Anolis sagrei: one gene and its partner. The protein of the gene in region 2 interacts with the protein of the main gene of each other region in a biochemical or structural test. Links are inferred from orthologs where the notes say so. Each region holds a gene or a part of one and is shown on either strand. Other genes may lie near its edges. The genes, in order: SYT1 and STON2.

Region 1 (17,142 bases), on a different chromosome or scaffold from region 2:
TTAAATTCCATCATTGCAGGAGTTCAGAATGCTCTTTGATTGTAAGTAAACTATAAATCCGAGCATCTACAACACCCAAATGACAAAATCAATCCTCCTCCCCAACCTCACCAGTCTCTAAATTTGGGCGTATCAGGTATTTGTGCCAAATGTAGTCCAGTGAATGAAAATACATCCTGCATATCAGATATCTACATTATGATTCATAACTGTAGCAAAATTACAGTTATGAAGTAGCAGGGAAAATATTTTTATGGTTAGGGGTCACCACAACATGAGGAACTGTATTAAGGGGTCAGGGCATTAGGTAGGTTAAGAACAACTGTTCTAAGGCAATATTTCAGAGGAAGGAACTGGCAATCTTTGCCTAAGAAAACCTAATGAAATTGATGGAAGTGCCACAAGTCAACAGGCAACACACACACATGCCTTTCAATCAGGCACAGGCAGAATTAGACTCAATTTCAGCTCCTTAAATCTAAGGGATGTGACTCAAGCTCTCCAGCAAATACATTAAGATAGTGATACATTTGCTTCCAGACAATAGAATGTACACAAACTTTAATTATGCACAAAATTATTAAAATATTGTGTATAAGATGTATATGAAGAATTATATAATGTCATCGTTAGACTTGGGTTCCATCTTCAAGTTATCTCATTAAATACATTCAACCACCCACTCCCCCAAAATAAACAAAAATAAAAATTTGGAATACAAAAGAGTGCCAAACATTTTGGCTGAGGGATGCTCAACCTGTATTTAAGGAAGAGATGCATAGCAGCTATCTAGACCCAGATATTTACAAAAGTGACATCTGTATTAGATTTGCTCTGTACAGTTAGATACTGCTAAGGCAACAAGAATGTGTGTGGTTTGAGAATAATACAAACAAACTAATGAGAGGGTTTATGATGTGGTGCTAAAAATCCAATTCAGAAAAATCAGCAAACAGAATACGGCAACAACAAAAAAAAAGAATATGTAATAAATAGCTTTTTGTAAAAGAGAGGTTAGGAGACATCAAGAGCCTTTCTATAAAACAAATAAATAAAAAATTCACTCCTAATAGCCCAGTCTTTTCCAACTATCCAACAGACCTGCTCTTTTGTGTAGAAATTATGTTTTTGATCCTTCTATAAATAGCACACCATATGGTAGTGAAGTTGTCTATCGGTTATAAGAAAAAGACATACAACAACAACAACAACAACAACAACAACAACACATCTAGCCTAATAAAACAAGCAACCCCCGCCCCCACCATTATCTCACTGAAGGACTTCACCAAAATTTCAGTGTGCCTTTCTCAAGTTTGGAATTGCAGACTACAAATCATAGAAGAGTAGCTGGGTGGATGTCTTCCAGACTGAATCAAAATAATAATTCAATAATATTCATCAGAATCATGCAATCAAACTAGGTAACTAGGTACCCCCTTCTTAGTATAGCTTGTGTAAACTTTTTTTTTTTACTTATGGAAACAGTTTGCCTATTAGCATCTGGCAGTTTCATTGTGTTTGTTTGTAGATCTGATCCTACGTCCCATTGAATTATTCTATTTCAGTTTAATTTTTTTCTAATCAATGAGCAAGAATCTATTAATTTTGTGTGTGAAATGAGAAATTTTGAAACATAAAAACAGACATTCTTGGCTAGCATCTCCACTAAAAACATTGGACATAATTTTTAGCATATAGTTCAGCTTTCTCGGTTGCACTTTCATATAAACTAGTATAAAATTTTAGCTATTTCAAGATAGGATGTTGTTGTTGTTGCTAATTTTATTCAATCCAATTGATTGAACAATGTGTGTCTCCACATATTGTTACCTAATGCTATCTCTGTAAATAAAAGAGGAATAAATCAAAATTAATGAAATAAAATACAAAAATTATATTAAAAATTCTGAAAGATACATGGACTAGGCACATAACATTGTGTAGATTCTCATTTTACACTACAGTTATACAAAAACAGTTAACTGGAAATATATTTCATATGTAAATAATATAACTCTCTCATCAGTGTTAAATATTTTGTTCTGTTGAATGTTGCCCTAAGGAACAACAGTTCATGTTGTTTTTATCTAGCATGAGTACTTCCAAAATATCAAACCCCTATCAGATAATCAGTCACTGTAAATATATTTTGTGTGCTGTTGTTTTATTCTGATTTTTTCTCCCTACACTAATAAAGAGGAACTGTGCTCAAACAGAAGTGAATTCCAGAAAGAATCTGCAAAGAATCTTCCAGGACTGAGAGGCACAGCTCCCTCTAGAAGAAAAGAAGAAGAAATCCCCAGTGGATCCACCTTAAAGGAACTGGTGAAAACAAAAACAGAATATGACAGAGAAGAAAATGTTGAAATCCCAAAGCCATTTTAAACCAAGTTGAAAATACTTAAAGCTGGTATTGTCTTAGGGCTTGGATTGCATTCCTCAAAATGATTTTTCTCCAGTAATCTCGACCAAAAGTCAAGTGGACGACGTGTCTGTTAAGGTATTTCAAAAGTAATGCTGAACTACATTTCAGATTACTGGGAAAATCAACACACACAAACTGTATTTCAAACTGTAAAAAATGGAATGAAATGATGAACAAGTTAATTTAAAGCATACTAGACATATATGCCAATAGTCTATCCATGTCTGATTTCAGGGATTTGTTTTTGAGTGGGCAACTTTTTCATATTGTTAATACAAATGATTTACTTTTCTTGACATGGAACACTTAGATCAACAGCATAGTAGTACTGCATAAATCTGGCAGTTTTGCATCTTAAAAAATCACTATATATTTTACAGAAGTGCTATTTTCTTTCTGTATAGTCATATTAAATATGTGCACCACATGTGTGAGAGTGTGCATTATAGTTCTGTACAGCATGTAATATCTGTACTATTTTAAAACCTTCCCTAGTTGGTTGGTGCACAGCATTAAAAAAATATATCTCCCACAAAACATATGACTTTTATACATATAAAATATCCTCCAAATACTTGTTTGCTTAATACTGCATTTATTAATTTAAGCATTTTAGTGTGAAATGTTCCTTTTGAATGTCATAGGAACATAATAGCATAAGCTTTATCCAAAACCCTTCCCATAGGTACACTTCTAATTAAGGTCTTTTGAATACATTATAAAACTCAAAACAAACAAATTTAGAGGCCCAAAATACTAAAGTAGTTTGATTTTTTTTCTTGTAAAATTCTGTATCAGAGCCATTTAATCAATAATTTTGAAATCTAGAGAGAGAGACAGAGAGGGAGTAATGGCTAAGCAAAATACTGCCACTTTAATACTAAATATAATTTCCTGATTAGTCAAAATGCTTTTATATATGAAACACAAGGGACACCCAAAAGCCAGCATTCATAGGAACTACGGACAGTAATACACTGAATGCCGATGATGACTTTTCCAAGTTTTTAAATATCTTGGTATCAAATGGTTGTAATTTAATTGCTATATTTGAAAGTGATTTTATTGCATAAATAGAAATTAACCACAATGACATGTTCAAATGATTTAATTTCTCCCTGAAATACCATAAATTAACTATAAACTTTCTAAAGAGGCAACTCTGAAAACATCTCGTCACATCCAGGATAACAATCTGTAAATGCACAGATTCACCATTAACTTTTATTTTATGCTCATGGTCTTTTTATTGTAATTAGAAAAAAAATGGGGTATTGCTCTCTCACATCTCTAGCAGAGTCCCTTTCTGTAACCTCAATCAGCCTCTTCTATTTAGTCAATAAAATAGCCTTGTATTTGGATTTGCAGTACTTATTCAAACAAAAAACCAAAAAATTCCAGTATTCAACATCCAGTGTTGCTCCATCCTCATGTCCTCTTTTTATTTTTGTACTCCTTGTGAACAAGTGCCAAAAGATTTAAACATAATATCCATTGGTTCAATAGGGGGGGGGGGGGATACAGTTTGTGAGATAAAACTCCAAATTCTGTGATCAATATTCCTATAAACAGAGGTAATTCTTGTAGCGTCAATCATTCAAAGGTACTCTGAAGTATTTTTAATGTGTAGGCAAATTAGGATAGTATAAATTGGTAGATTGTTTTTACTTCTGCAAGTGCAAAGGAGTTCACAATTCCCTGCAGAATGCCATTATCTGGCTTTCCCTCTATTTTGCCCTCTCTTTACAGGATCTGCCTGTTGTCCTGATTTTTACTGCAAGCAATTAAGATTCATGGACCGCTTGAAATGATGCGGACTCACAGAATTCAATGAAAATAATCCAGTGCAGATGAGTACTCTCAGTAGCTTTCATTATATTTCTCAGTTTTGGGGTCATACACATTTCAAATGCTCCAAGACAGGTGATCAGAGTTCTGACTTTATATACAATATATTTATTTCTAGGCATTAGCAACAAACAACTTTAAAAAAGGCAACAGCCTGGTTGGGAGGGGGAGAATGTCTCCTAACCATAAAACTAGGTCACGTTTAAATAACCAAATCTTCTGCACTTTCAAGACTTATTGCAATGAACATGCAAGTATTTAAGGTACGAGGCATCATTGTACTTGCTGCATCAAAATACCCGTCTGCCATAGGTCAAGTTTATAAGAGATAAAGTATTTCTGAAATCCTCTTAACGGCTGTTGAGCGTCTTGCTTTCTCTGCCGGCCCTGACATGAGTGCATGCAAAACACTGATATACTCAAGGGAAAAATTCATTACATATTTATCAAGGCAAAATATATCCTTTAAAATGCAGAGTTTCAGATAATATGAATTTTAAACATAGGTTTTAAGATTAACCCTATGAGACTTTTTTTAGTGGACCAAATGCCTGTACTTATAATCTCTTTTTGCATCCGCTTTAGAATTAAAAATAACTCTCCATTAACAATACTCAGGAAGACACACAGCACGGGTATAAAAGCAGAAGAGCTGCTGAAAGCACAAAACATGATTGCACAAATAAGGGTCATGCTTTGAGTTGCAGAACCTTAGTATCTAAAATTACTGTACGGACTCAGAACAGAAGAATATATGGAGGGTGAGGCAGTGAAAATGCTGTTAAAAGATGACATGTAGTGAGGAAAATGTATGAAATTGGTCCCAGCTAATCACATAGATACCATCTTTAGTCACAACAGGACATTAAAAAACAAAACTTGGCATTCTCCTATGCCAATTGGAGGCTTATATCCATCAACCAATTGTGGCCAAATATGCCTTCCTACTCATTTAGAACTTCACTTGGAACACTTTCCACTTATAATTACCCAGGAGACTTCTTTCTACCACTTCCACTGACCAACATCCCTCAGTTGGGGCTGATGAATAAATAATAATAATAATAATAATAATAATAATAATAATAATAATAATAAATGAACAACAGTAAAAGGCATCTCACATCAGTGTTGACTGAGTTGCAGATCACTGAAAATGCTATAAAGACTAATTCTGATGAGAGTGTGTAATGAACATGCAATGCTCCAGTAAGTGGCCCAATATCTTTCCAAGGAAACAAGAGGTGATGGGAGGGATATCCTTCAAAATGCCTTGGATAACTTTGTGACACCAGCTTTTTAAACTTTTCCTAAGCCTTCCATACATCTCATTTTTAACCGTATTGTGAGTACTGTAATACCATATGGCTTATGTAGATTATTGACAACAATCCTTTCCACATTATCGGTGAAAGAGAAAGTATGGGGAGAATGATAAAACAATTATAAAGGGAGATGCTATTAATAATGATGATGGGGGCACGGGGGGCAGGGATATAGATCTGCCAGCTCTTCTAAAGATGTGCAGGTCCATCATTTATAATGTCATTTTTTAAAACTCCAAAAACCATGATCTCAATCATTTTTTAAAAAAATTCAAAAGCATCCTTTCCATCCCCTGTATCACAACAAAACCCTTTGCATTTCCTTGGATGGCACTGAACAGGCTGCGCTCTGGCATCAGGAGATGCTGAGCCAACCTTAAGAAATGGGGCCACAAAGTGGAGCCCACGACATGCGAGTGTGGGGAAGAGCAAACCACAGACCACCAATTAAAATGTAGTCTGAGCTCTGCCACATTGCACAATGGAGGACCTTCTTGTAGCAACTCCAAGTGGCCAGCTTGTGGTCAAAGGATATTTAGTATAATGCCAAGTTTTTAAACTTTGTTTGTGTTTTTAAATACATTACAACTGTACCTTCAGTTCACTTCCGATATGAAAAATAAATAAATAAATTTCCTTTGGGGACTGTTGCTGGAGAATAACAAACATCACGGTTTGCATCTAACTCTAGCAGATGATGAATCTGAGTGAATCCTGAACACAGGGGATTGGGGAGCTAGGCTACCTTGTGATGGAAATAGTTGATGCTGAAACTCTGTTTCCATCATCACCCAATGCATCATCCCTAGAAGAAGGGGGACTTTGGGAGGCTGGGACTATGATTAACTTTTGTTCAGTGTCCTCATTTTCCCTCCTCGCACCTTGTTGTTTGTTTGAGAGCAAAAAAAGAAAAAAAAAGAAAAACCAGAACTAGAATGGTCCTTTCCAAAGCTGTTTCTCCTGCTTGGAGGCAGGTGAAGGGTTTGTTTACTGTCGGGTAAGCACTTTGGTGCTTTGGAGGCGCTGAGAAGGATGCAGCATCCCCTCCTTGCCTCTCCACCTCCTTCCATTTCACCCCATGTTACCCTCCATCCAGCCCACTTCTCCTAGGAGAGAAACACCCAGGTGGGTGGGAAGCTTTTTTTTTACCTTCCTCGAGTGGGTGGAGATTGCTAGACAGCAACCCAACCCAAGCTCCCATCTCTTTCCCTTGAACCCCAACGCCATTCCCACCTTCCTCCCCCCACAGTTCTCTGGAGAAGGGCCATGTGCTCCTTTGGCCGTCCTTTCCAAAGGTCCCTCTCTCTCTCTCTCTCTCTCGAGTGGTGCCCCTCACAGACTTCCAAGTGGTAGCCATGAAGCCAGCCAGCCAGCCAACCCCGCCTTACCTGCCAAGCCGAACTAGCAGAAGGAAAGAAGGGCGGGAGGAGGAGACGAGGCTGTCCTTCAGCACTCTTGTTCTTTCTAGTGTCGAGAATGGGATGGAAGCCTTGGAGACCAAACAACGGACCGGCGCAGCAAGGCGAACCCCTTTTTTTCCCCTCAGGCGAGCGCCCACATCGCCTCAGCGCGCGCTCCCGCGCCTCAGCGGGTCTTCAGCTGAGCCCCCCTCCCCTTATTCCCCCCTTTGTCTCGGGGGTTAAGTTTCAGCTGCTACTGGCTGCTAAGCAGAGGAGGAAGAGGAGGAGGAGGAGGAGGGAAGGCTTGGGAGAGAGAGAGAGAGAGAGAAAGCCAGCCTGGACTCCACGGAGGGAGGGAGGGAGGAGGGGAGGGAGGGGCGCACAGCTCAGAGCATCACCGCTCTGCAGCTTCTGCTAGGAATCCCTCCACGGAGGAGGGAGGGAGGGAGGCAACGCCGATTGGCTGCGAGGCGGGGATTGCCTCCGCCAGAGCCAATCAGGGCGCCGGCATCGCAGGTGGGGCTGTCTGAGGCAGCATCGCCCTTCTTTCCCCCCACTGTCGTTACGTTATTGCCTCTTCCCTCCTCCCGTTCCAGATACACACACGCACACCAGAGATAGAGATATATACACGCATTCACAGAGGGAGAGGGAGGGGGGGGGAGAGAGAGAGGCGCGCACCCGCCTTCAGGGGCTGGGGAGGGTGTTCCCCCACGAATGACAACCAAGGGCACGCTCTGTGGAAGGGGCCGGGGGGCTGCGCGTCCCGCCCACTCCTCCTCCTCCTCCTCCTCCCTCCCACTTTCTCTGCCATGGGAAGCCAGTCGCCCGGGTGACCTGATTCTCTCCCTGACCCTCGCCTTCCCTCCTCCCCTCCGCTCCCTTCCCCGAAAGCTGGCAATTTGCAATATGGCATCGTTGAGTGCGAGAAACACAGAAAGACATCCACGAGCAAGCGCCAGGGACTCCCACAGAAGCGGCAATGGAAATGAAAGCAAAGCCTGAAACAGAAAGAGGGCCCTGGCCTTCTCACCTCTTGGCATAGGCAAACTCTGGCCCTCCAGGTGTTTGGGCTTCAGCTCCCACTATTCCTAACAGCCTACGTTGCATTCTCCCCAGCATCATTCTCTTCTCCGAGCTTTCCTGTCTTCTACCCCTCTATTCTGCCTTGGTTAGACCACACCTGGAATATTGTGTCGAATTCGGGGCACCACAATTGAAGAGAGATATGGACAAGCCGGAATGTGTCCAAACAGGCATGTAGCCAGGGGGAGGGGGGGCTTTGGGGGCTTCAGCCCCCCCCCCCCCCCCCGAAATTCTCATGGTGGTCTACGAAAAGGCCTTGCTGGTACATTATTTAAACTGTTCTGTCTATTCATATCATGATCTGATCACCATGCCCAATATATCTCATATGCATGGGGGTAGCATGGGGGTATTGGGGTAATGATGCAAAAGGTTTGCTAGGGTAGACCCTCTTTCACTCAGACTCAGCCCCCCCCCCAAATCAAACTCAGCCCTCCCCCCCCCATCAAAATTCTGGCTACAGGCCTGTGTCCAAAAGAGGGCGACTAAAATGATCAGGAGTCTGGAGAACAAGCCCTATGAGGAGCGGCTTAAAGAGCTGGGCATATTTATTTATTTTATTTTATTTAAAGCATTTATATTCCGCCCTTTTCACCCTGAAGGGGACTCAGGGTGGAGCACAATATATAAACGGCAAACATTCAATGCCAAAACATATTATACCATACACATACAAAAGCATTAAAATCACATATCTTGATGTTAAAATCCACTAGTTAAAACTATCTCAACAACCATATCAAATTTGGTTGGCATACTAAGGGTTCCTATCGCTGCCTCATTGCACAGTCCCAAAGGCTCAGTCCCACAGCCACGTTATCATCAGGACAAGAGGGAGGGGGCTGACCTGATCTCATTAGGAAGGGAGCTCTATTGTCGAAGGACAATTACTGAGAAGGCCCTGTCTCTTGTCCCCGCCAAATGCTCCTGTGATGGTGGTGGGACCGAGAGCAGGGCCTCCCCAGAAGATCTTAATCTCTGTGGTGGTTCATAGGGGGAGATGCGTTCAGGCAGGTAAATTGGGCCGGGGCCGTTTAGCCTAAAGAAGAGAAGGCTGAGAGGAGACATGATAGCCATGTATAAATATGTGAGAGGAAGTCATAGGGGGGAGGGAGCAAGCTTGTTTTCTGCTGCCCTGGAGACTAGGATGCGGAACAATGGCTTCAAACTACAAGAAAGGTGAACCTTAGGAAGAACTTCCTGACTGTGAGAGCCGTTCAGCAGTGGAACTCTCTGCCCCAGAGTGTGGTGGAGGCTCCTTCTTTGGAAGCTTTTAAACAGAGGCTTGATTGCCATCTGTCAGGGGTGCTTTGAATACCATTTTCCTGCTTCTTGGCAGGGGATTGGACTGGATGGCCCATGAGGTCTCTTTCAACTCTATGATTCTATGATTCTCATTATGTGGCCAAAGTACTCCATCTTTGCCTCTAATATCCTTCCCTCCAGTGAGCAGTCAGGCTCTATTTCCTGGAGTATGGACTGGTTGGATCTTCTCAGAATTTTTCTCCTGCACCACAGTTCAAAAGCATCTATCTTCCTTCGCTCAGCCTTCCTTATGGTCCAGCTCTCACATCCATAGGTTACTATGGGAAATTCCATTACTTTAATTATGTAGATTTTCAGTGCAACCATGCACATCTACAGTGTGGAAATAATGCACTTTGGTTCCACTTAAACTGCCATCTTTAAATATTATGGAATTCTGGAAGTTGTATTTTTTACAGTCTTTAGTCTCAGAGTGCTGGTGCCTATCGGCTGTTAGGAATTGTGGGAGTTGAAGTCCAAAACACCTGGAGGGCTGATGCTTGCCCATGCCTGGTCTACACTGATTCCACTTTAATGGCCATGGTTAGATATTGTGGAATCATTGGCATTGTAGTTTGTTGAGGCAATGTAGATGTGTATAGTTGCACTGAAGATCTGCATAATCAAAGCAATGGTCTTCCCCATAGTAAGCTATGGGTGCAAGAGCTGGATTATAAGGAAGGCTGAGTGAAGGAAAAATAGACAATTTTGAACTGTGGTGCTGGAGGAAAATTCTGAGAGTGCCTTGGACCGCAAGAAGATCAGATCAGTCCATACTATAGGAAATAATGCCCGACTGCTCACTGGGGGGAAGGATATTAGAGACAAAGATGAAGTGCTTTGGCTACATAATGAGAAGACAGGAAAGCTTGGAGAAGATAATGATGCTGGGGAAAATGGAAGGGAAAAGGAAGAGGGGCCAACCAAGGACAAGATGGATGGATGGCATCCTTGAAGTGACTGGCTTGACCTTGAAGGAGCTGGGGGTGGCCATGGTCGACAGGGAGCTCTGGCGTGGGCTTGTCCATGAAGTCACAAAGAGTCGGAAGCAACAACAACAAAGATGTACCCTTTGAGTTCTCTTTCAGCCTTTCTTCTTCCTCTTAGCAATGGTTAAGCTATTTTGTTGAAGTGAAGATGAAGAGGGGTACACCCTATATCTTAATACTCCCTCATTTTCACTATACAGAATTGGTTGGCCAATGGCTATCCCATTCCCAGACAGTATCTGTAGTAGCAAGTGGATTTAAAATAAGAATTTATGGACTTTATGACACTCAGGGGTTTCAGCAAAATACAAACAGACATCTTTACAGCTTTGATTCATTATGAATTGATCTGATAATTGCTCTGTAAAAGGCAACTCACAACAAATGCTGGGTCGAAATGCCCAAATAGATGTGGAAACAAAGCTATTCTGAAGCTCCCAGGAAACATAAAAAATATTTTGCAAAAATTAACTCTTTCACAAAATAATTGCAAAAGTAGAACGGAGGATGTTATATGTTATGTTTTTAATCACATGGCAAGATTTCTTGAAGGCTTGAACCCAAATCCGAAGCAAATTTTCTTCCATGCACATTTTCCCTATAGTCTAACCATCAATTCCTTTCTAGAAACACCAGAAGATGAGTATGTCTGTATTTATGTTATTTTCCTTACGTTCTGTCACAATAGTCTGTTCAACGTTTGAGAATTATGAGTGTCTAAAAATGATGATTTCTCACATGTTAAAATTTGGACACAAAGATACATTCCACAGCCCATCTATCTAGTGCGCATCAGTTGAAGTTGCATCGTATAGTGTGCACTCCATTTTTTGTGAGACCACTGTATATGGACTGAGGTGTGGAATCCAAACTGTCTGATAACCTTTGTGCCAGACTTGTCTGCCCATGAAACATGATAAGGAGCTGTCCTAAGAATCAAATTAATGGTCCATAGAGCCCTGTGATGGACTGCAGTTCTCCAGGGACTGCCTGGAAGAGATTTTTCTAACTCTTGCTGGCTGCAAATATCAAGGGTTGAACTTAAGCTATAGAGGAAGAGTTTTGCCTGACAGGAGAGAAGGCTTTGATTTGATATCTCAAGGAACTATTGACAGTTTTTGTGGAAATGTTGCCAGGGCAGAAGGAGCAGGGGAGAGAAGTGCATACAGGAGTCAATACAGTAGGGAATTGGATTATGCCCTAAGTCGAATAGCATATATTTTAACCATTTAAATTCAATCGCTAGTTCTAACTAGAGGAAACCCAGTGAATCAACGAGACATACATAGCTGTTGCTTTATGCATTTTCTAGTTATTTCACATATCTATTCTTAAAGGGACTAACAATAAGATTTAGGTTGCTATGAGTTTTCCAGGCTATATGGCCATGTTCCAGAAGCATTCTCTCCTGACATTTTCCCCACAGCTATAGCAGGCATCCTCAGAGGTTGTGAGATTTGTTGGAAACTAGGCAAGTGGAGTTTATATATCTCTGGAATGTCCAGGGTGGGAGAAAGAACTATTGTCTGTTTGAGGCAGGTGTGGATGTTGCAATTGGCCACCGTGATTAGTATTGAATGGCCATGAAGCTTTAAAGCCTGACTGCTTGCTGCCTGGGGGAATCCTTCACTGAGAGGTGTTAGCTGGCCATGATAGTTTCCTGTCTGGAATTCCCCTCTTTATTGAGTGTTGTTCATTATTTACTGTCCTGATTTTAGAGTTTTTAAAATACTGGTAGCTAGATTTTGTTCATTTGCCTGCCCACCCCCACGAAATAAGGAGACTGACAACAATAACTTGGGTTCAAATTGGACAATTGTTAATAAAATTACCTATTTAACTTTTTCTGTTCTAACTGGGGTGAGTCTTGAACTTGGTGAAGGGCAAAGCCGAGGTAGCATCCATACCTGGACTACTCCCCGGCGACTTGGGCGAAACACCTGGGTCCCCTGCAAATTTACAACTGGGCAACCTCTAAGGAAACCTGGAGAAGCCTCCCCCAATGTTATTGAGGCCAGATTCTCACCAATTTAAGGCCAGTTGATTTAACCTCACCCCATCCAAGTGATCAACAGGTCAGTGTTTTAGCTACAGGCCATCACCCCTGAAGGGGGTGCCTTGGGTATACGCCGAATATCCGATTGTCCTCTCTATTTATGCTAACCTATTTAGATGCCACACCACCCCAGCTAGCCCCTATGTTCCTAGAACATAGGAGAGGTAAAAATTCCTACTCGGTCCCAGCTGGCAACAATGCATATACTTCCAAAATGGGCAGGTGTGGTGGGTCACCAAAAGAGCTCAGAATGAGCCAAGGGGGCTGAGCCACAGGCTTAGCCCAGCTCCATCCTCTATTCTGGATGGTTTCATGGAACCAACCATTCTCCCTTTGGAGTGGGAGGCAAATCTCTCTCTAACCCTACTGCACAGGGATGGAAAGCTCCTTTTATGGTTTCTTCCTTTCTGTTGAAATTATACACATGCTTGTGGATTTCAATGGCTTCTCTGTATAGTCTGACATGGTGGCTGTTAGAGTGGTCCATTTCTGTGTTCTCAAATAATATGCAGTGTCCGAGTTGGTTCATAAAGTGCTCTGCTAAGGCTGACTTCTCTAGTTGAAGTAGTCTGCAGTGCCCTTCATGTTCCTTGATTCATGTTCGGGCGCTGCGTTTAGTGGTCCCTGTGTAGACTTGTTCACAGCTGCATGGTATACAGTAGACTCCTGCAGAGGTGAGAGGATCCTTTTTGTCCTTTGCTGAACGTAGTATTTGTTGGATTTTCTTAGTGGGTCTGTAGATAGTTTTTAGGTTGTGTTTCTTCATCAGCTTCCCTATGCAGTCAGTGGTTCCCTTGATGTATGGTAAGAACACTTTTCCTTTGGGGGGATCTTTGTTTTTGATGGCTTGTTCTTGGTCTTGCAGCTCTTCTGATGTCTGTGGTTGAGTATTTATTGACCAATAATAAATAAGATTTAGTACCATTTATCTATTGTGTTTGCACCCTACTTTTTCACCCAAGAATTCAACAAAAGACGTGTCTTGATAATATTACTATTCCCCTGTGCAGTAGGGATGGAGAGAGATTATTCCAGAGCTTCTTTCTATTTGAGATGACTTAAAGGTTATTGTATATTTATGCTGCATTATATTGACTACATTTTAAAGTTTGTGGGATGAAATTTCAGGCACAAATGAAGCTAAATTACCATTAGATGTCTACCATTAGGCTTTTGGGCTTTCAGCATCCAAAAAAAAGGATTCAATCAAGTATCATTGTTTTGCCAGATGTTACTGCTTTTGATATGAAGCACAACTACCATGGTGTGTGTGTTTGTGTGTGTTTCCTGTTGTGCCACTGATGTCTAATATCACCTGCAATGTTTGTATTAACAGTAGCAGTATTCAATAGTAACTAATGACTCTCACATACAATAAAGAACCATGCCTAGCAAGCACAGCAAGGGGATGAATCACAAGTCCACAGATTAAAGAATCTAATGCCACAAAATGAAAAATGATATAAATTAAGTATTTATGCACATTATTTTGGAAAATAATGAAGTCAGATAGATTTGGGCTTTTTCACACTTGAAAGCAGATTTCCCAGTGTATTTCTATCCTCCTTGGCTGTAATATTATAACAATAATCAGAATGCTTGATGCAGTTTTCTAGCAGGTCTTTCTGACTTTGTGGAACCATCAAGCTTCTTCTATGTGCAGTGCACTAGCATAATACCGTTGCAATCCTATGACCTTATAGAGCAAAAACAGGAATAAACTGAGCAACACCAGCAGTTAATATCATAGCATCCATGGCAACATCATCACTAGTTAGCAGCAATTGCAGTGCTGCATCCTAATGGTGACACCACAATATGCATGTTCAGAAGAATATAGTAAAGGTACACATTGCAACATCCTCATGATACTACCACGCATAGTACATGGTGGCATAGTGGAGCCAGGAATCACATCAGAACCACATGGGACTTTTTGATTGGTTAGGGTAAACAGATATCATTTTCCTCTTCCCCAAACTTACCTGAAACAAAATTTCACTACTGGAAAAAGAATGCAACTTTCCAGATGCCTTCTCAGTACTCATTCATCAATAATAGTTATTGCTGCAGAATAAGTTCTGAGAAGGGATCAGGAAAGCTGCACTTTTTTCCTGGTTAAGTAGGTGTCTACATCCATTTTCCAGTCCATTTAGGCAATTACACTGAACCTATGACATTATATATTGTACTCCTTATTCAAGCTCTGAACCTAGGGTTCATTAGTATCTGAAGGGTAATGCAGATTGCTGAATTTGTGTTCACCGATTTGGATCTTTGTAGAATTAAAAGCCTTTCCAGATACATGGTGGCACCTCTCACACATCAGGAATTTATGGCAAGCAGGGTCATGTTTTTGTACAGTAAATATTGATTTTCTGATTCCTAACACCAGGCACTTTTCTGACCACACCAGGCACTTTATTATTTATTTATTTCATATATTTATATCCCGCCTTTCTCCCCACAAGGGGGACTCAGCATGGCCTCACATGAGCATCAGAGGATGCTAACAATATAAATACCATAAAAACTACAACTTACAATAAAATCATTTTAAAACATTGTACATCATCAATAAAAGTTCTCCCTCATTCAGAGTTGTACAAATATCCAACACTGACTTGGATTCAGATATAAAGAATTATGAACTAGCAACACTGTAGGATCCTGAAAGCAATGAACCCACCAAAGCCTATCTCCCAGAGACTGTGAGGCAGAACCTATCAAGAGCCTGGAAATCTTGTCCCCAAGGCATCACACTCCAGTAAACCTGCTTGCTGCTGTAGTGCCACAGAGGAGGCCTATTACAAGGAACCCTCATTGGAAGAGCTTCCTGTTTAAGGTGCAAAACAAATTTCTACAAAATGTAAAAAGCTGGAAAGGGGGAAAAAGAATAAACCTACTCAGTTTAGATAGCCATTACTGGGAAAAGGCTTGAGAGCTCTGTCCAGGGTCCTGAAAGACAAGGCTTTGTCATTGTCGGCTTTAGTTGATTTGGAATTCAGTATTCCCAGAGCTGTTCACAGAAATCATGTGTGTTTGTGCATCCATGTTTGTGTGTCTAATACAAATATAAAACACAATGTAGTACAGCATCAATGCAAAGGAAAATACAGACATTTTTTTAATCTAGTAGAACTAACATTTATGATAGCAATTAATTTAACATGGAACAGCAGTAGAGAAAGGGATTAACCTCTTCCCTGTGTATTACCTATATTCTAATTAAAACATACCCCTGTGCACCTCCAGGTATTTGGCCAGGAGTGAAAATATGACTGACACCATAAAATTCTTTGGTTTTCCCTTTTACCTTAGTTTAAGGCTGCTTCTTTTTTTCCTGCTTGCATTTAACCTTTTTCCCCAAGCCTTGTATGTTTCAAAGTGGAGTGGTCTGCTTATCACATAACAGCAGTGCAATGAGCTTTCAGTTCAGGAAGAAAAATTACAGAGAAGATAGTGCTTCTTTCTCAGAAATTGATATTTGCTCATGGAATTAAAACACAAATGCTGTTCCACTAATGAAAACATGCAAGCCATTTTTGCTTTTCTTTGGACTATATCAAAATAGATCTTTTTAGCAAGTATGCATATAAAAAATCATGGGGGAAATAACTGGAGAAAAGGTTAAATTGATGACCTTTTGCTTGTTTGCTTTCCAGAATTGATCTCTTTTCAATGTGTTTTTTTAAAAAATAAACCATGTTATACTGTTATATTTATAGTTTAGGAAACAAGACTTTCATTTTTTCTGATGATATAGCAGGTGAGAGTTCAAAGGGTTGCAACCTGGAATATAGAAAGCAGAGATGAATGATCAATGGATTTAAAGATATTCTAGGCTTTGATCATAAAGAACATTTCTACATGATGATATATAGGCGGCATTTGACCCCTGACAAAACTATCTAACATGTATAAAGAGATAAAAAATGTATGCTGGAAACGTGAGACACATCAAGCTAAGAAATATTGGAGATGGATGCAAGATGGATGCAAGTGGATTTAGAGTCAGCTTTATTTCTGTTAGGACTACTAAATGAACAAATTCAACACCTGAATTTTAAATTATTACACTATATTCTGTAAAAATACTGTTGTTTCAAAAATGGAAGAACACAAATGTACCTACACAAGAACATGGCATCTTAAAAGATATTTTAAATGGCAGAAATTGACAAATTATCTAGTATGATTGAAAAGCCAGCCTTAAATAACTTCTTAGAAGATTGAGAACACTTTTTAACCTTTGTAAAAAAAAGAAGGAAAACATGGAAACGTTTGTGTGATTTAAAGATTACATTCCATAATATTTTTGTAGTTATAAGGTAGAAATCAAGACTATATATTACACTATAGTGAGAAGATGGCTACATATTCAAAGAAGTGTCTTTAGGTTGGAAGGCAGGAAATAAAATTTAATATTTTATAAGTGGGAAAGGGTTGAATTAATTTTAGAGTGGGGATTTATATATGTAACATAAAAGCAATATAATACACTTATATAATAAGTTACAGTATATAAAAGTAATATAGTATATTAGGTTTGTACTTTGATGTAACATTATATATATGTTTCAATAATAAAAAGATTGGGAGAAAGGAAAGTTCAGAATACTTAACTATTTTTATATTTAAAATGTGGTATCATCTACTGCAGAAAGGTCATAGGTTGTTGATCTCCCTACAATTTGATATTAAA
Region 2 (16,417 bases):
ATTGCTGTTATCCAGTCAACTAAAAGGCAACTGGATAAACACATGAAGGGCACATCCATCAACAGTTAACAATTGTGATGGCTATAAGAAGGGCATGTAGATGTTTCCACAAGAATTTATTCTGTTTTTGCAATCTGTTTGTAGGTTTATAAGAGGCATTCAGTTGATCTGTCTGAGCATGTAAAACTGTGTCTTGCAGATGTGGGAGAAAGTTACTGGACCACATGGGTGTTTGGTATTACAAAAAAATTATTGTGCTTTCATTTCTGAATAAAAGCATGAATTTAAACCTACAGTTCAGGTTTATGATTAAGGCTGCACCTGCACTGTAGAGTTAATACAGTTTGACACCGCTTTAACTGCCATGCCTCAATTCTATGGAAACACTGGGGTCATAATTTGCTCAGACACAAGCATTATTTGATAGAGAAGGCTAAAGAACTCCTAAAAGTTTCCACAGAATTGAGCCATGGCAGGTAAAGTGGTATCAAATTGCATTCATTCTACAGTGTAGATGCATCTACAACAACAACTAACACTATGATTATAAGTAAGAACAAAAATTTAGCTCATCTTTCTGCCAGGGGTCAGACAGTAGGATTAAAGATCCAGAAATGCCATGGAAAAGTTTGTTATAAATTCTATGAAAATCTAGTCTCTTGTAATGCTCACAAATCCATCTGAGGAAACAAAATCCATTGCTCATTGGTTTCCATAAAAATTCAGGCATGCTGCAGGATCTAAAGGAATGCTTTTAGCATTATTTTAAGAAAATACTAGTGTATACACCCATTCCTAATGATACTGAATTTAGAAAAATCAAAGTGAAGCATGTTCAACCAGCCACAAAACTAAAAGGCACTGAGTTTTGTTCATGCATTTTTTGGTTTTGGGATCTCTAAAAAGAAAATGGGGGTATTATCATAATAAAGGGGCAGCCACTTTGAAAGTAGCAAGGTATAATTATCTTAAGAAAATAAATAAGAATAAAAATGTATTGTAGAAAAAGTTAATATAGGTTTGTAAAAGGGCCTTATTACAAAACAATGAAACTAGAAGAGTTGTTTTCACATAGCTGCAAATTCTTTCCCTCCTCTTACTTCGTATTTTTATGCTTTCCTCTTAAGTAATATACTTTTTCAAAGTCTACTTTCAGTTTCCTTGAGTTTCAAAAGAAGTTTCCACAAGATAAAAGGAGCTGGCAGGGAGAAGATACAAACTACACATCCAATGCTAACAAAACGAGTTCTTGGCCTTTGTGAGATGGAGGGAGGGTTTGTAGATATTTAGATCACTACACTTTTACAGCTGACACTACACAATCCTACTACACAATCCATGTATAGTTTTTATAAACTACTATACCAGCAGACAACTGCTCATTGGAGGGAAGTATATTAGAGGCAAAGATGAAGTATTTTGGCCACATGATGAGAAGACAGGAAAGCTTAGAGAAGGCAATTATGCTGGGGCAAATGGAAGGAAAAAGAAAGAGGGGCTGACCAAGGGCAAGACGGATGGATGGCATCCTTGAAGTGACTGGCTTGACCTTGAAGCAGCTGGGGGTGGTGACAGCAACAGGGAGCTCTGGTATGGGCTGGTCCATGAGGTCATGAATAGTTGGAAGCAACTGAATGAATGAACAACAACAACATACCAACAGAAGAACTATTTTAGTAGAAATAACTGAAGACTAGATGCCTGCAGTCAAAAGGTTGACCAATTAAATCATCATGACTTGTACAGGTTGAGCACTCCTTATCTAAAATTCCAGAATATGAAATACTCCAAAAATGATGTTATCCACAAGGGTGGCTAAGATCATGACACCTTTGCTTTCTGATGTTTCAGTGTACACATTAACTTTGCTTCATGGACAAAGTTATGAAAAATATTGTGTATAAAGTTATATTCAAGGCTATGGGTACATAAACAGAAATGGATGTTACCTTTAAGACCTGGGTCGCATCTACATAATATCTCATTGTGTATTTATTTGCAAACACAGTTTTTCCAAAATCCGGGAAAAAAACCCAACTCCACAAACTTCTGGTCCCAAGCATTTTGGATAGAGGATACTCAATCTACATTTGTCTTACTTGTTTGACTAGATAGGGTTGGATTTAAAAAGATCTTGACTGAGACATGAAATTTACTGAGCCTGTGACAATCATGCATAGGCTGACGTGAAGAAAAAAACATAACAACTTTACATCTGCATAAAATTATATGCAGTAAGGACAAGATATTAACAATTACAGCTACTCTCAACACTCTGATCATAGCTCTCACAACTCTTTCTGTTCTTTTTCTCTTTTTCATCTATTCTTCTTAAGGGTTTTCTGGCACTTTGTACCCTGGCTGCTGTATGTCCTTTCCTTAGCCAACTTGTATCTTGGCTTTTTGCCTTTAACTTTTCCAAGGATGTTTTGCAGACTTCAGTCTATCACACAAAGCTTCTAGGGTATATGTAGTCAAACTGCCAGCTTCCTCTTACCTTTCAAAAACAGGCCTCAAAACATATATAATTCATCATAGTGCACTCAGGTGCTGCTTCGGCATTCCATATTATCAGAGAGTATGGGATACAATCAAAGACCTACCACAAGCACAATCCAATATCATACAGACAACTTACTTCAAAATCCATTCCCTTCTAATTTCAACTGGAGAAAGTATAACATAGGAAGGCTAACAATGTGTGGCATGGAAATTATGGAGGATGCTTAGTCTTGGAAACAGGTTCAAGTTTCTTTTTTCACATCAAGGTTTTATTTCTTTTAATGAAGGGAAATATAGCAATGCAAAAGATATTGTGAGAAATAGCTCCAAACAACTGAGGTCGAGACAGAAAATCAACAAAATGCTCCTCTTCCTATAAACACTGGCCATACCACCTTAATGGAAACCTGTGTAAAAAGAACTAGGTCAATAGACCAGGCATGGGCAAACTTTCTAACTTGGGGGCTACGTGGTGGGCTGGATGGGCCAGGAGGGAAGAAGAGAGGAGTTTCTCCCAAGTCCCGTCCCCCCAGCCCTTTCTTCTTCTCTTTTGGAGGCAGTAAGTGAATTAAAAACAGGAAACGTTTGGATCCCAAAAGTGTTAGCCTTTGTTAGGATGAGATGGTGAACAGAAGAGAAAAAGTGTATCCATTAGGTCCCATATTGTCTACTCCTGATATAGAATCGTAGAGCTGGAAGAGATCACCGAGGGCCATCTAGTCCAACCTGCTGCCATGCAAGAAGGCACAATAAAATGCACTTCCGATAGACAGACTCTGCAGAAAAGCCTCCAGAGAAGAAGACTCCACCACATTCCGAGGCAGCCTATGCCACTCTTCAACAACTCTTACTCTCAGTAAGTTCTTCCTAATCATTGCAGTCGAATCTCTTTCCCTGCCATTTGACCCCATTGCTCCCTTGGGCCCTGGTCTGTAGAGCAGCAGAAAGTCAGTTTTCCCCCTCCTCCTCAATGGGACACACTTTTAAATCTTGCAACATGGTTCTTATGTTCCCTCTCTACCTTTTCTTCTCTCGGCTATACATCCCCTAGGAGGCAAGAAGGAAGGAAAAAGAGAAGGAAGGAAATAAGGAAGGAATGGGAAGATGGATGGATGGATGGAAGGAAGGAAGAGTGGAAGGAAATGGAGGGAAGGGAGGAAAGAAAGAAAGATGGAAGGAAAGACAAAAGGGAAGGAAGGAGAAAGAGAGAGTGGGAAGGAAGGAGGAAAGGTGGAAGAAAAGAAAGGAGGGGAGAGGGAGAAAGAGGGAGGGAAGAAGGAAGAAAAGAGAGAAGGGATGAAGGATAGGATGGTGAGAGATTGGAGGGCCTGAGAAAAGAGCCCAAGGGGCCACATCCGGGCCCCGGGCCTGGGTTTCCCCATACCTGCAATAGACTGATGACCCTGACTGGCCTTCCATTAGACAAAGTAAGATGCCATATAAGGCAACTCATTTTGATAGACAACAGACAGGGGTGTTTTTTTTTTTTGGGGGGGGGGGGGTTGGGGCAATTTAAGCATTGTATTTTTACTGCCAGGGAGATAATGAGACCCTTGTGGATTTTCTTCTTCAAGTGCCAGAGTAATGTGATGTACCTTGGAATCTAAGCATCTTGAATTGTGCATGGAGGATTTTTCCCCCACACATTGGCTGCTGTGAATCAGGTGGCAAAATGCCACTGCTGAAATCTGTCTCCTGCTCTGCTCAATGGCTCCTCTACTTCAGACTTGGCAAACTATTTTTTTTCACATACACAGTATTTATTTCGACAGTTTCTCCTCATCAGGAAGAGAATCAGCAAGTGGGGCACCACAAGGTTCTGTCCCTGGCTTAGTTTTGGTTAATATCTTTATAAATGGTTTGGAAGACAGAACAGAGGACCTGCCTATCAAAGTTTCAGAAAACTGGGAATACCCCAGAAGGCAATATTGGGATCAGATTAGACAGCTAGGCCAAAATCAACAAGATACAGTTCAACCTTGGAGGAAAACAAGATATTCAAATATAAGGTGTGTGACATTGACTTGAAAATAATAATAATAAATAATGAAATTTCATTTGTACCCCGCTACCATCTCCCCAAGGGACTCGGTGCGGCTTACATGAGGCCAAGCCCACAGCACATCAATAAACAAATGCGATAACAAATAGTAAATACAAAACAGTTAAAATAAACTCAAAAACAGAAAATACACAATAAGCAATAAACAATAACAATTTCAATAACATACAGCATTTAAAACCTATGAAAAGAATCTATGGCTCTTCGGGCCACAGTGGTGCAACGGCTTAAACCCTTGTGCAGTTGAACTGCTGACCTGAAGGTTGGCAGTTTGAATTCACAGGACAGGGTGAACTCTTGCTGTTAGCTCTAGCTCCTGCCAACCTAGCAGTTTGAAAACATGCAAATGTGATTAAATAAATAGTTACTGCTTTGGCAGAAAAAAAGGCAAAAAAACAAAACAAAAAAACAACAACAACAAAAGGAAGACAGTCCAAGCAGTCTTGCTGGCCACACAACCAGGCTCCTTGGCTAGGAAATGGAGAAAAGCACCTCCCCTAGAGCCAGAAATGAAAGTAGAAGCATTTACCTTGTTTGTGTTTGTGTGTCTCATTGTTTGTGATTGTAAGGCACTGAATGCTTGCTGTATATACTGTAATCAGCTCTTGAGTCCCCAAGGGGAGAAGGGCAGAATATAGATAAAGTGTATTATTGGGAGACCGCAAGCAATGATCTGGAAAGGATTCTAACTCTTGGATTTTTGCCACAGTTCTTTGGATTTGCATACTATCCAAAGGGCAAGGAGATAGACTAGATGCCCTTTGCATCCCTTCCAAGTCTATGATTGTATTATTGTACTGTATTAGCAATGTTTCTGAACCTTGCCAAAAAAAGTCTAAGGGAACCAAAGCAACTTCAATTAAAAATGACCTTTCACTTTTCTAAACATTAGAACACCACTCAAAATATGAATCATACAAGCTTGGATAAGTTAAGCTTACAAGTATTTAAGTAATTGATGTATTGTGAAGAGTGAGGCCACAATGTCAATACATTGTCGATTGGAATTGGCTGAAACCTTCCTCCCTATTGACTGATGTCTGGGAAATGAATGAATTTAGAAGAGAGACAGACCAGGAAATAGGGTGTCCAGGGTGGGAGAAAAAACTCTTGTATGTTTGAGGCAGGTGTGGATGTTGCAATCGGCCACCTAGATTAGCATTGAATGGCCTTCCAGCTTCAAGCCTGGCTGATTGCTGCCTGTGGGAATCCTTTGTTTGGGGGTGTTAGCTGGCCCTGATTAATTCTTGTCTGCTTTTTTTTTTTACTATTGCTCTTTATTTACTGTCCAGACAGTAACAAAGGATTCTCCCAGGTAGCAATCAGCCAAACTTTGAGGCTGCAGGCTATCAGCATTGAATGGCCTTGTAGCTTCAAAGAGTAGCTTGTTTCTGCCTGGGGGAATACCTAGGGAGATTAGGCAAGCACCCACCTTGTCAGCCTTTAGGAAACGTTTGAAAACTTGGCTGTTCCACCTTGCTTGTGATGAATGAATAAGAAATCCCCATATCATGACCATCCAGCATAAGGCACTTTATCTCATCCCTGGCAGGAACATTAAACCCCATAGCTCGTCCCATCCATATCTCTCCCTCTAGATACTACTCCCTTTTCCATCTCACTCAATCTCCCGGGGCACTTTGTTCAACTCCTTTGTTTTTAACTTTTCACCATACCTCATACCTGGTGTTTTATCCCACTGTGTTATTTTTCTTTCTTGTTTATATTTTATTTGAGTTATTATTTGCTGTATGTATTTTATTTTGTTTATTGTATTTGTCAGGCTTGCCTCATGTTAGCCGCCCCGAGTCACTGAGGTATGATGGTGGAGGGGTATAAATAAAGTTTAATAATAATAATAATTGTTGGGAGGTGTTAGCTGGCCGTGGTTGTTTTATGTCCAGAATTGCCCTGTTAGTTGAGTGTTTCTCTTTATTTACTGTCCTGATTTTAGATTTTTTTTAAAAAAATACGGGTAGCCAGATTTTGTTTATTTTCATGGTTACCTCCTTTCTGTTGAAATTTCAATCAGGAGCAGCTAACACCGACCAACAAAGGATTCCCCCAGGCAGAAATCAGCCAGTCTTTGAAGCTGCAAGGCTATTCAATGCTAATCAAGGTGGCCAATTGCAGTATTCACACTTGCCTCAAGCGGATAAGAGTTCTTTCTCCCACCCTGGACATTATTCCATGGATATATAAACCTCACAGTCCTCGTGGACAAGTTAAACATGAGCCAACAATGTGATGCAACGGCAAAAAAGCCAATGGGATTTTGGCCTACATCAATAGGAGTACAGTGTCTAGATCCAGGGGCCAAAACTAGCAACATGAAGTTCAATAGGGACAAATGCAAGATACTCTTACCTAGGCAGAAAAAATGAAATGCCAAGATACAGAATGGGGGATGCCTGGCTAGACAGCAGTATGCATGAAAAGGATCTTAGAGTCCTTGTGGTCAACAAGTTAAACAGTTAACAATGTCATGCGGCAGCAGAAAAGCCAATAGAATCTTGGCCTACATAAAGAGATCCAGGGAAGTCATGCTACCCATGCTCTATTCTGCCTTGGTTAGACCACACCTGGAATATTGTGTCCAATTCTGGGCACCACAATTGAAAGGAGATATTGACAAGCTGGAATGTGTCCAGAGGAGGGTGACTAAAATGATTAAGGGTCTGGAGAACAAGCCCTATGAGGAGCGGCTTAAAGAGCTGGGCATGTTTAGCCTGAAGAAGAGAAGGCTGAGAGGAGACATGATAGCCATGGATAAATATGTGAGGGGAAGTCATAGGGAGGAGGGAGCAAGCTTGTTTTCTGCTGCCCTGGAGACTAGGACTCGGAGCAATGTCTTCAAACTAAAGAAAGGAGATTCCATCTGAACATGAGGAAGAACTCCCTGACTGTGATAGCCATTCAGCAGTGGAACTCTCTGCCCCAGAGTGTGGTGGAGGCTCCTTCTTTGCAGGCTTTTAAACAGAGGCTGGATGGCCATCTGCTGGAGATGCTTTGAATGCAATATTCCTGTTTCTTGGCAGAATGGGGTTGGACTGGATGGCCCATGAGGTCTCTTCCAACTCTACGATTCTATGATTCACTTGCCTAGTTTCCAACAGACCTCACAACCTCTAAGGATGCTTGCCATAGATGTGGGCGAAACGTCGGGAGAGAATGCTTCTGGAACATGGTCATACAGCCTGGAAAACTCACACCACCCAATCATGTATATTGAAGAGGGAGAGGGGGCGGGATATAAATAAAGCATTATTATTATTATTATTATTATTATTATGGTGATTTGAATGCAATAGTCCTGCTTCTTAGCAGGGGGTTGGACTGGATGGCCCATGAGGTCTCTTCCAACTCTTTGATTCTATGGTGATGATGATGATTGTCCCCCCAGGCTGCCTACAGCACACCGTTCCTGCCCTGCTTGAGGGCAGGGAGGGAGGCTTGGGCGGGCTCTCTTGAGTGGAAGTCTTTCCTGGTTTGACTCATTCAGACTACAAGGTGCGCATTTGGGTTTAAAGCAACCGGAGGGAGAAAGAAGAAGCCCAGCCCAAGCTCTCTCTTCCTCTCGCCGGGCTTCCAACCAGCCAACCAGCCAGCCCGCCCTGAGCCCGGATCAGCTAGCCTTTTGTTTCCTTTCCTTTACCAAGCCGGCAGCCAGCTTCCCCCTTTTGCATTGCGATCAAAGCGAACACAACCCGCCTTACCTTTCGGGACCAAGCGCCTCCTGTTTGGCTGCGACCTGCTCTCCTTGCCTTGCCCTCCACTTGCCTCCTTTGCTTCCAAGGGATCTCCCTCTCCCTCCTTCCAGGAATCAAGGTAAAAGGGAAGCAAGCAAAGGGAAACCCAGACCAAACCCGGCTCAGCCGCCGACCTCTCCGCCTTCCCTCTGGAGAGAGGAATCAGGGTTAGAGAGGGGTAGCTCTGGTGGGCGGGACTCCGAAGCCTGATTGGCTGGAGAGGGAGCAGGTGGGCGGGGCGGCCCCTCCTTATCCTCAGCACCTAACTGGGAGTGCATAGCATGCATGCCCTTGCCACCTGCTACCTAAGTGAGCACTTGGAAAACTGAACTGCATCGGGTTGTTGTAGCTTTTCCAGGCTATATGGCCATGTTCTAGAGGCATTTTCTCCTGACGTTTCGCCTGCATCTATGGCAAGCATCCTCAGACGTAGTGAGGTCTGTTGGAACTAGGAAAAAAGAGTTTATATATCTGTGGAATGACCAGGGTGGGACAAAGGACAATCAGGCACATCTAATCACCTCTCAACAAAAGATTCCTCCAGGCACTGCCAAGCCATCAAATGCTAATTAAGATAGTCAGTTGAAACATTCACACCTAGCTCCAGCAGACAAGAGTCCTTTGTCCCACCCTGGTCATTCCAGACCAATCTCGTTTGTCTTTTGAGATCATTTTGAAGTGGTTTCTCTTTTCTTTTTGCTATTTGCTATTTTGCGGTGTTGGAGGAAAGTTCTGAGAGTGCCTTGGACTGCCAGAAGATCCAACCAGTCCATACTTCAGGAAATAAAGCCTGACTGCTCATTGGAGGGAAGGATAGTAGAGGCAAAGAGGAAGTACTTTGGCCACATCATGAGGAGACAGGAAAGCTTAGAAAAGACAATGACGCTGGGGAAAATGGAAGGAAAAAGGAAGAGGGGCCGACCAAGGGCAAGGTGGATGGATGGCATCCTTGAAGTGACTGGATTGACTTTGAAGGAGCTGGGGGTGGTGACGGCCGACAGGGAGCTCTGGCATGGGTTGGTCCATGAGGTCACAAAGAGTCGGAAACGACTGAACAAATGAACAACAACAACAGAAATCTTGTTGATGGGAAGTTTCCCACTGGAGTGGAAATCATCTATTGGACAGATGAGAAGCTATTTAACCTCAGCAGACTGAAAGCCAAAACCAAGGTTACAACAACATCTGTTACAGAACTTCAATATGCTGATGACAATGTTGTCTGTGCGCATTCAGAAGAAGACCTACAAGCCACTCTAAACACCTTCGCAGAACCATACGAGAAGCTCAGCCTGTCATTAAACATCGAGAAAACCAAAGTGCTCTTCCAGCAGTCATCAGCCAACCCTTCTCCAATGCCAGAAATACAGCTTAATGGTGTAACAGTAAAAAATGTTGGTCATTTCCGCTACCTTGGCAGCCACCTCTCTACAAAAGTCAACATTGACACTTAAATTCAACACAGCCTGAGCTCTGCGAGTGCAGCATTTTTCCGTATGAAGCAGAGAGTGTTTGAGGACCGGGACATCCGTAGGGATACCAAGGTGCTTGTTTATAAAGCCATTGTCCTCCCAACCCTGCTATATGCCTGCAAAACACGGACTGTGTACAGACGTCACATGCAACTCCTGGAACGATTCCATCAGCGCTGCCTCTGGAAAATCCTGCAAATCTCCTGGGAAGACAGGTGGACAAATGTCAGCATTCTGGAAGAAGCAAAGACCACCAGCACTGAAGTGATAGTCCTCCGCCATCAACTCAGCTGGACCAGCCATATTTTCCGAATGCCTGACCACCGTCTCCCATCTTTAAGGCCATCTTTAAATCTCTTTTCCTGTCCACCACTATTCCATTTTCCATTCATTACTTGGGAGTATAGTAACTGCTTTGGGAGATGGTGACTGGGCATTCAGACAATGTGGCCAGTGCTGCAAGCTCATGCCTATTTTTTGTTGTTGAGAGATTTGTGAAAGAACCTCTTTGGCCTCTGTATATTATATCTTACATATACAGAGGCCAGGATGACCGCCCCCCCCCCCCCCCGCTTTGGTCTGTTAGGGTTGGGCTTTTAAATATAGTGTGATTGGAATTTTAAGGTGGGCATAAAACTTTAATAATTTTAATATTTTAATGTTTATTAGTTTTAATAGCATACATTATTGGTTTTTGTTTTTTAATTTTATATTTACATTTTAATGTATTCACATGGTTTTCAATTAACATCATTTTATATTGGTCATTAGCAATCAGGAGACAGGCAGGATAAAAATCAATACTGTAACATACATAAATAAATGATGTGTTCAAAGCAAAATCTTTTCAACTTAGGTTTTTCTTGCATGTATGGTTTTCCTGCACAAATAGGCTTCCATAGCTTCCATAGTGTTGATTTTCCTATATTAAATTTTCATTGATTCTGTGAATTCTGTCCCCATTGTTCTCTTTAGGAAAAGTACCAGGGTGAAATGACTTTTAGCTTTCATCACTGTTTTCAATTTCTAGTTTCACATGGTTTGACAGGAGGTTTATTGTAGCTACTTTCCAAATTACAAAACTTGTGTGCTTATCATGTATGTCAATATGCTCACATTTTGTTATATCAGTGTAGGTCTTTAAAGGAAGATTGATATAATAATGATGATAACAAGATAACAATGCACAAGGGTGCTTTGAATGTGATTTTTCTGCCTCCAACTTTATGAATCTATGATTCTATAAAATTTGTTACTTGCCTCTTCTCATGACTTAAGGCTGGGTACAGCATATTTAAAACACATGGATAAAACATAATACCTTTAAAATACATATATTAAAATACGCATAGCTAAGATTTACATGGATACTAATAAAATGTAAAGTAAAATGTATAGTTTAAAATTGGCTGAGTAGGCCTGCTTGAAGAGACAGATCTTCAGTTTTGTCTTGAATGCTGACATCTCATTTAGCTGTTGGAGCTCTTCTGGCAGGTCATTCCATAGTCTTGGGGTATTCAATGAAAAGGTCCTCTGGGTGACAGTCAGCAGTTGGGTTCTGCCTGGGTGGAGTTAGCAGAAGACCTCAGTAGAAGGGGTGGATTGTGTAGGATAAGGCGATCCTGTTGGTAACCTGGACCTAAAGCATGGAGGGCTTTAAAGATTATAACCAACACCTTGTACTTTGCCTGGAAACTAATTGGGAACCAGTGGAGTAGCTTTAGTATGGGTATAATATGCTCACTTAAAGATGTTCCTGTAACCCATCTGGATGCCATGTTTTGAACTAATTGGAGTTTCCCAACTTGGTACAGAGGTATATATATAGTGCATTGCAGAAGTTCAGCCTTGAGGTTACCAGCACATGCACTATCACCTTTAGGTCCTCCAGTTCTAGGAAGGGGCAAAGCTGGCGTATCAGTCGAACTTGGTAGTAAGAACTTCTGATCATCACATCTACCTGGGCTGACATTTGGGGGGACTGATTGAGGAGCACTCCCCATACTGCGAACAGTAATAGAATCATAGAATCACTGAGTTGGAAGAGACCTCGTGGGCCTGAAAGAAGCAGGACAATCACATTCAAAGCACTCCAGACACATGGCCAACTAGCCTCTGTTTAAAAGCCTCCAAAGAAGGAGCCTCCACCACACTCCGAGACAGAGTTCCACTGCTGAACAGCTCTCACAGTTAGGAAGTTCTTCCTGATGTTCAGGTGGAATCTTTCCTGTAGTTTGAAGTCATTGTTCCGAGTCCTAGTCTCCAGGGCAGCAGAAATCAAGCTTGCTCCCACCTCCCTATGACTTCCCCTTACATATTTATACATGGCCATCATGCCTCCTCTCAGCCTTCTCTTCTGCACAGCTCTTTAAGCCGCTCCTCATAGGACTTGTTCTCCAGTCCTATGTATCATATAGGTATTATGATTTGATAGTGACAGAACAGTGTGAACAAATCTATAGATTTGTATAGATATGTGAGCAGAACTCCTCTTCTCCCTGTTAAGCACGCTGCATTCTGCCCTTCACAGAAGTGTTCCCATCAACACTATTTATTTATATATTGCCATCTCTTTAATGCATCTCTTTTTAATGTTTAGTCTTCTTGACTTGTTATGGTCATTACAGAATGCACAGTATTACTTATCTTCTGCTATGCACAGTATCATTTACCTTGAAGCTATAATAATAGTGCAAGCTAATCCATTTAAATAAGCAATTTAAGAGAATGATTTGCATTTATACTTCAGCAACAGCAACATCAACACATTATAAAATTCCCTTCTGTTCATTATAAGCAGCTGGTGTTTTCTTTGAAAATGAAAAGCATTCATATGAAAATGTAGGGAGTTTTGCCTCAGAATTCCCACACTCTCCCTATGTGGCATAAAAACGGGAAGCTTTTTATTCTAATAAGGCATCGAAGAGAAACATTTTCCCTGTTGGCCACCTTTGACTACAAAGCAGGCCACAAAATAAGGATCTGTTTTGTTCTGACAGTGTGTGCACCAGAAATGCACCAAAATAGTCAGATCCCCATTTCTGAACAAACATTTGCATTGTGCACTTGGCAGTGCAATAGAGCACATTAAAAATGTCCAAGGCAGCTTGCAAGTTTAAGAATAATTTTAGTGTCTCCTAGTTACCAATTCTGTGATCCCTGGTAAATAAGTTTAAAATTGGCAAGTTGTAAATCAATAGCCTTATTTGGGATAAGATAACTCTTTTCAAGTTGTTTCCAAAAGTCGTGTTCCATTTTAATTTTTTAATACCAGAAGTTCCCTAAAACCATTGGGGTGGAATTTGGTCACAGTATAGGCCAGGAGGGGCCTTCACTAAAGAGTCCCAGAAGTAAACTTCCAGTTTATCTCCTTTTGCAAAAAGATTTTCTGGAGAATAAAATGTCTGGAGCACTGTGAGCATGGCAAAATTGGCCCCTATCGTCCTAGAAGAGTCTTTGGGGTTGTTTGGACCAAATGGTTTAGCAGTTATTCCCAAGCTTTTTTTGACCAGGAACCACTTGACCAGGGACCATTTAACCAGGAACCACTTGACCAGAAACCACTTGAGCAGGGACCACTCTCCAACATTAGTACCAAAAGGGTTATGAATCGGCTTTTGGACAACTTTAGATTCAGTTTAGTTATTTGGGATGCTGATTCAGAAAAGTGCATTGGATAGACCACATCGGCTCTAGTTTCTGATACAGAACATGTGCTAGTTGCCATCTGCTCATCCACAGAAAACCATATTTAATAATCTAGAGCTGATATGGTAGTCGTGATCTTTGGTGGGTAGTCAGCTTCTCCCCTCCCAACATCCCTCAGCACTATAAGATGGTTTTGCGAGACCAGTCGCTCTCATTGCCACATGGTTTTGAAGCAACGGTGTAATAATAGTGAGGCCGCAGACCATATTTTTGTTCTTGCGGATCATTGGTGATGCATGGGCCACAGGTTGGGAACCACTGGTATAAAGAAAAACATTTGGGACGTTTTGGATAACAAAAAGGATTCAGGGGGTGCATGAGGCCCATGGGCTATTTTCCCCTTCACCTTGTATCTAAATGCAGACTCAAGCAGCAATTCTTGTTCTTTAGAGAAGTACAATCCCTTCGAGAATAAATTGATTCCTGGTTGGATAAGATACGTTATCAACCAACATAAATCCAAAATATTTTGCTGTTGGACATTGGGCACCAGGTGGCACCTGCCCTTCACATAGTACTCAAAGCACCACTCTGCATCTTCAGCCACTGGGAAAAAACACACCCAGTAATAGCAAATTACATGACAAGCAATTTGCTTTCCTACATAATCACTAGTATCTGTTGTCCATTATGGCTGCCTAACTCTGCCTAATGTTAGGGCTGGGCCCATTACCATTTTGATTCATCTTTGGGAAGACTCTAGAAAGATGCAGGCGCTTGTATAGTTTTGGTGGGTAAATTTCTATTTGTACAACCTGATCATGTGGACAAGTTGTTTGGCCTGGTGAGGGAAACTGCTTGTTTATTAGGTTCAAATCCATCCTGGTTGGGAAGAAAGGCTAGTCATTTGTGTGCTAGAGACTGCAAATGATGCTTTCAAAGAAAGGTGTGTTTCAACACCTCAAAAGTAAGCCTTTATAGCCCTATTTACAAAGACTTACTAGTTTCAGAACCCTAGATAATTATCAACAAGTTTCTAATCTTCCTTTTCAAAGTAATGTTTAGAGCAGGTGGGGAAATAATAAGTACTGGGTTTGGATAAAATTCATTAATTTTAACTATCCCAATCTGACCTCACTTCTGGTTTTGGGACAGAAACCTCTTTGGTCACCTTCATGAGTATCATATGCTATGGAATTGGTGGGTGGTGCTTATTTTACTAGACTCTCAATGGTATTTGGTATCATTGATCATTGATATGTCTCTGGTTTATTTGGCTGTTGTGGCACTTAGGGGAACTGTTTGGGTGTGATTCTGGTCCTGTTTGGCCAAATTATAACTGGGGCAGGCTGCAGGGAACACCCAGCCTGCTTGCTGCAACAGGTCACTGGCTGCTGGTCTGTTTCTAAGCACAATTCAGTGTATAGGCAGAACCTATACAGTTCTATATGGTTCAGGTACACATAATCTGAAGGACTGTATTTTCCAATATGGGCCTGAATAGGTTGCAAGATCTTTTGGGCTGGCCTGTCTCTCTGTCCTACCATTTCAATAGGTACATCCATGTGTTTTGGAAGAGCAAATGGAAGAGAGGCTTTTGATGGTGGCTTCTAGACTTTCTTCCTAGACAGGGGCGGCTCAACCGTTTCGCAAAGTAAGCCGTTGCGGAACACTTCATTTCAGCCAGGGGCGCCTCCTCCTCGCCCCTCTGCTGCTCCGTGGCTAAAAGGGTTCCTTCCTCCGAGCAAGAGCAGCAAAGGCGCGAGGGGGAAGCTGCCGCCGCTGAGGCCCTCTTCAGCAGGAGCCTCCTCCTCGCCCTTCTGCTGCTCCATGGCTAAAAGGTCCCTTCCTCGCCAGGCTGGGCTCCCAAGCCTGGCGCCCAGCCTGAGGAGGAAGGAGGATGTAGCAACAGAGGTGCGAGGGGGAAGCAGCTGCCGCTGAGGCCCTCTTCGGCAGGAGCCTCCTCCTCGCCCCTCTGCTGCTCCATGGCTAAAAGTTCCCTTACTTCCCGGGCTGGGCTCCCAAGCCTGGCGCCCAGCTTGGGGAAGAAGGAGCACGGAGCAGCAAAGGGGTGAGGGGGAAGCTGCCGCCGCTGAGGCCCTCTTCGCCAGTAGCCTCCTCCTCGCCCTCAGCGGCAGCAGCTTCCCCCTCGCCCCTTTGCTGCTCCATGCTCCTTCTTCCCCAGGCTGGGCGCCAGGCTTGGGAGCCCAGCCTGGCGAGGAAGGGAATTTTTAGCCACGGAGCAGCACAAGGGCGAGGAGGAGGCTCCTGCCGAAGAGGGCCTCAGCGGCGGCAGCTTCCCCCTCACCCTTCTGCTGCTCCGTGGCTAAAAGTTCCCTTCCTCCTCAGGCTGGGCTCCCAAACCTGGCACCTAGCCTGGGGTGGAAGGAGGACGGAGCATCAGAGGGGCGAGGGAGAAGCTGCCACGGCTGAGGCCCTCTTCGGCAGGAGCCTCCTCCCCGCCCCTCTGCTGCTCCGTGGCTAAAAGTTCCCTTCCTTCCCGGGCTGGGCTCCCAAGCCTGGCGCCCAGCTTGGGGAGGAAGGAGGACGGAGGAGCAAAGGGGCGAGGGGGAAGCTGCCGCCGCTGAGGCCTTCTTTGCCAGCAGCCTCCTCCCCGCCCCTCTGCTGCTCCGTGGCTAAAAGGGTCCCTTCCAAGCCTGGGGAGGAAAGAGCACGGATGGTCAAGGGGGAAGCCGCCGCCACCAATGCCCTCTTTGGCAGCGGCCTCCTCCTTGCATAGATATATATGTGTGTGTGTATATATATATATATATATATATATATATATATATGTGTGTGTGTGTGTGTGTGTGTGTGTACACACGCACACATACATATACATACACAGGCCTGGGCCAATTTCGGCCCTCCTTCCAGGGTCATTTGGGAATTGTAGTTGCTGGGATTATAGTTAACTACTATCAAAGAGCATTCTGAACTCCACCAATGATGGAATTGAACCAAATTTGGCACACAGGACTCCC

The links.
Region 1: the proteins of STON2 (region 2) and SYT1 form a complex in vitro, tested with the Homo sapiens proteins (2 studies listed by BioGRID). The link is inferred for Anolis sagrei from reciprocal best matches to the Homo sapiens genes STON2 and SYT1.

Annotation. Positions count from the first base shown.
Region 1 is NC_090025.1:147,887,725-147,904,866, reverse strand, and holds the start of SYT1 (synaptotagmin-1), read right to left. Parts: upstream 7,405-17,142; 5' UTR 6,990-7,404; intron 1-6,989. UniProt on the Homo sapiens protein: Calcium sensor that participates in triggering neurotransmitter release at the synapse. May have a regulatory role in the membrane interactions during trafficking of synaptic vesicles at the active zone of the synapse.
Region 2 is NC_090021.1:309,877,001-309,893,417, forward strand, and holds the start of STON2 (stonin-2), read right to left. Parts: upstream 8,485-16,417; 5' UTR 8,281-8,484; intron 1-8,280. UniProt on the Homo sapiens protein: Adapter protein involved in endocytic machinery. Involved in the synaptic vesicle recycling. May facilitate clathrin-coated vesicle uncoating.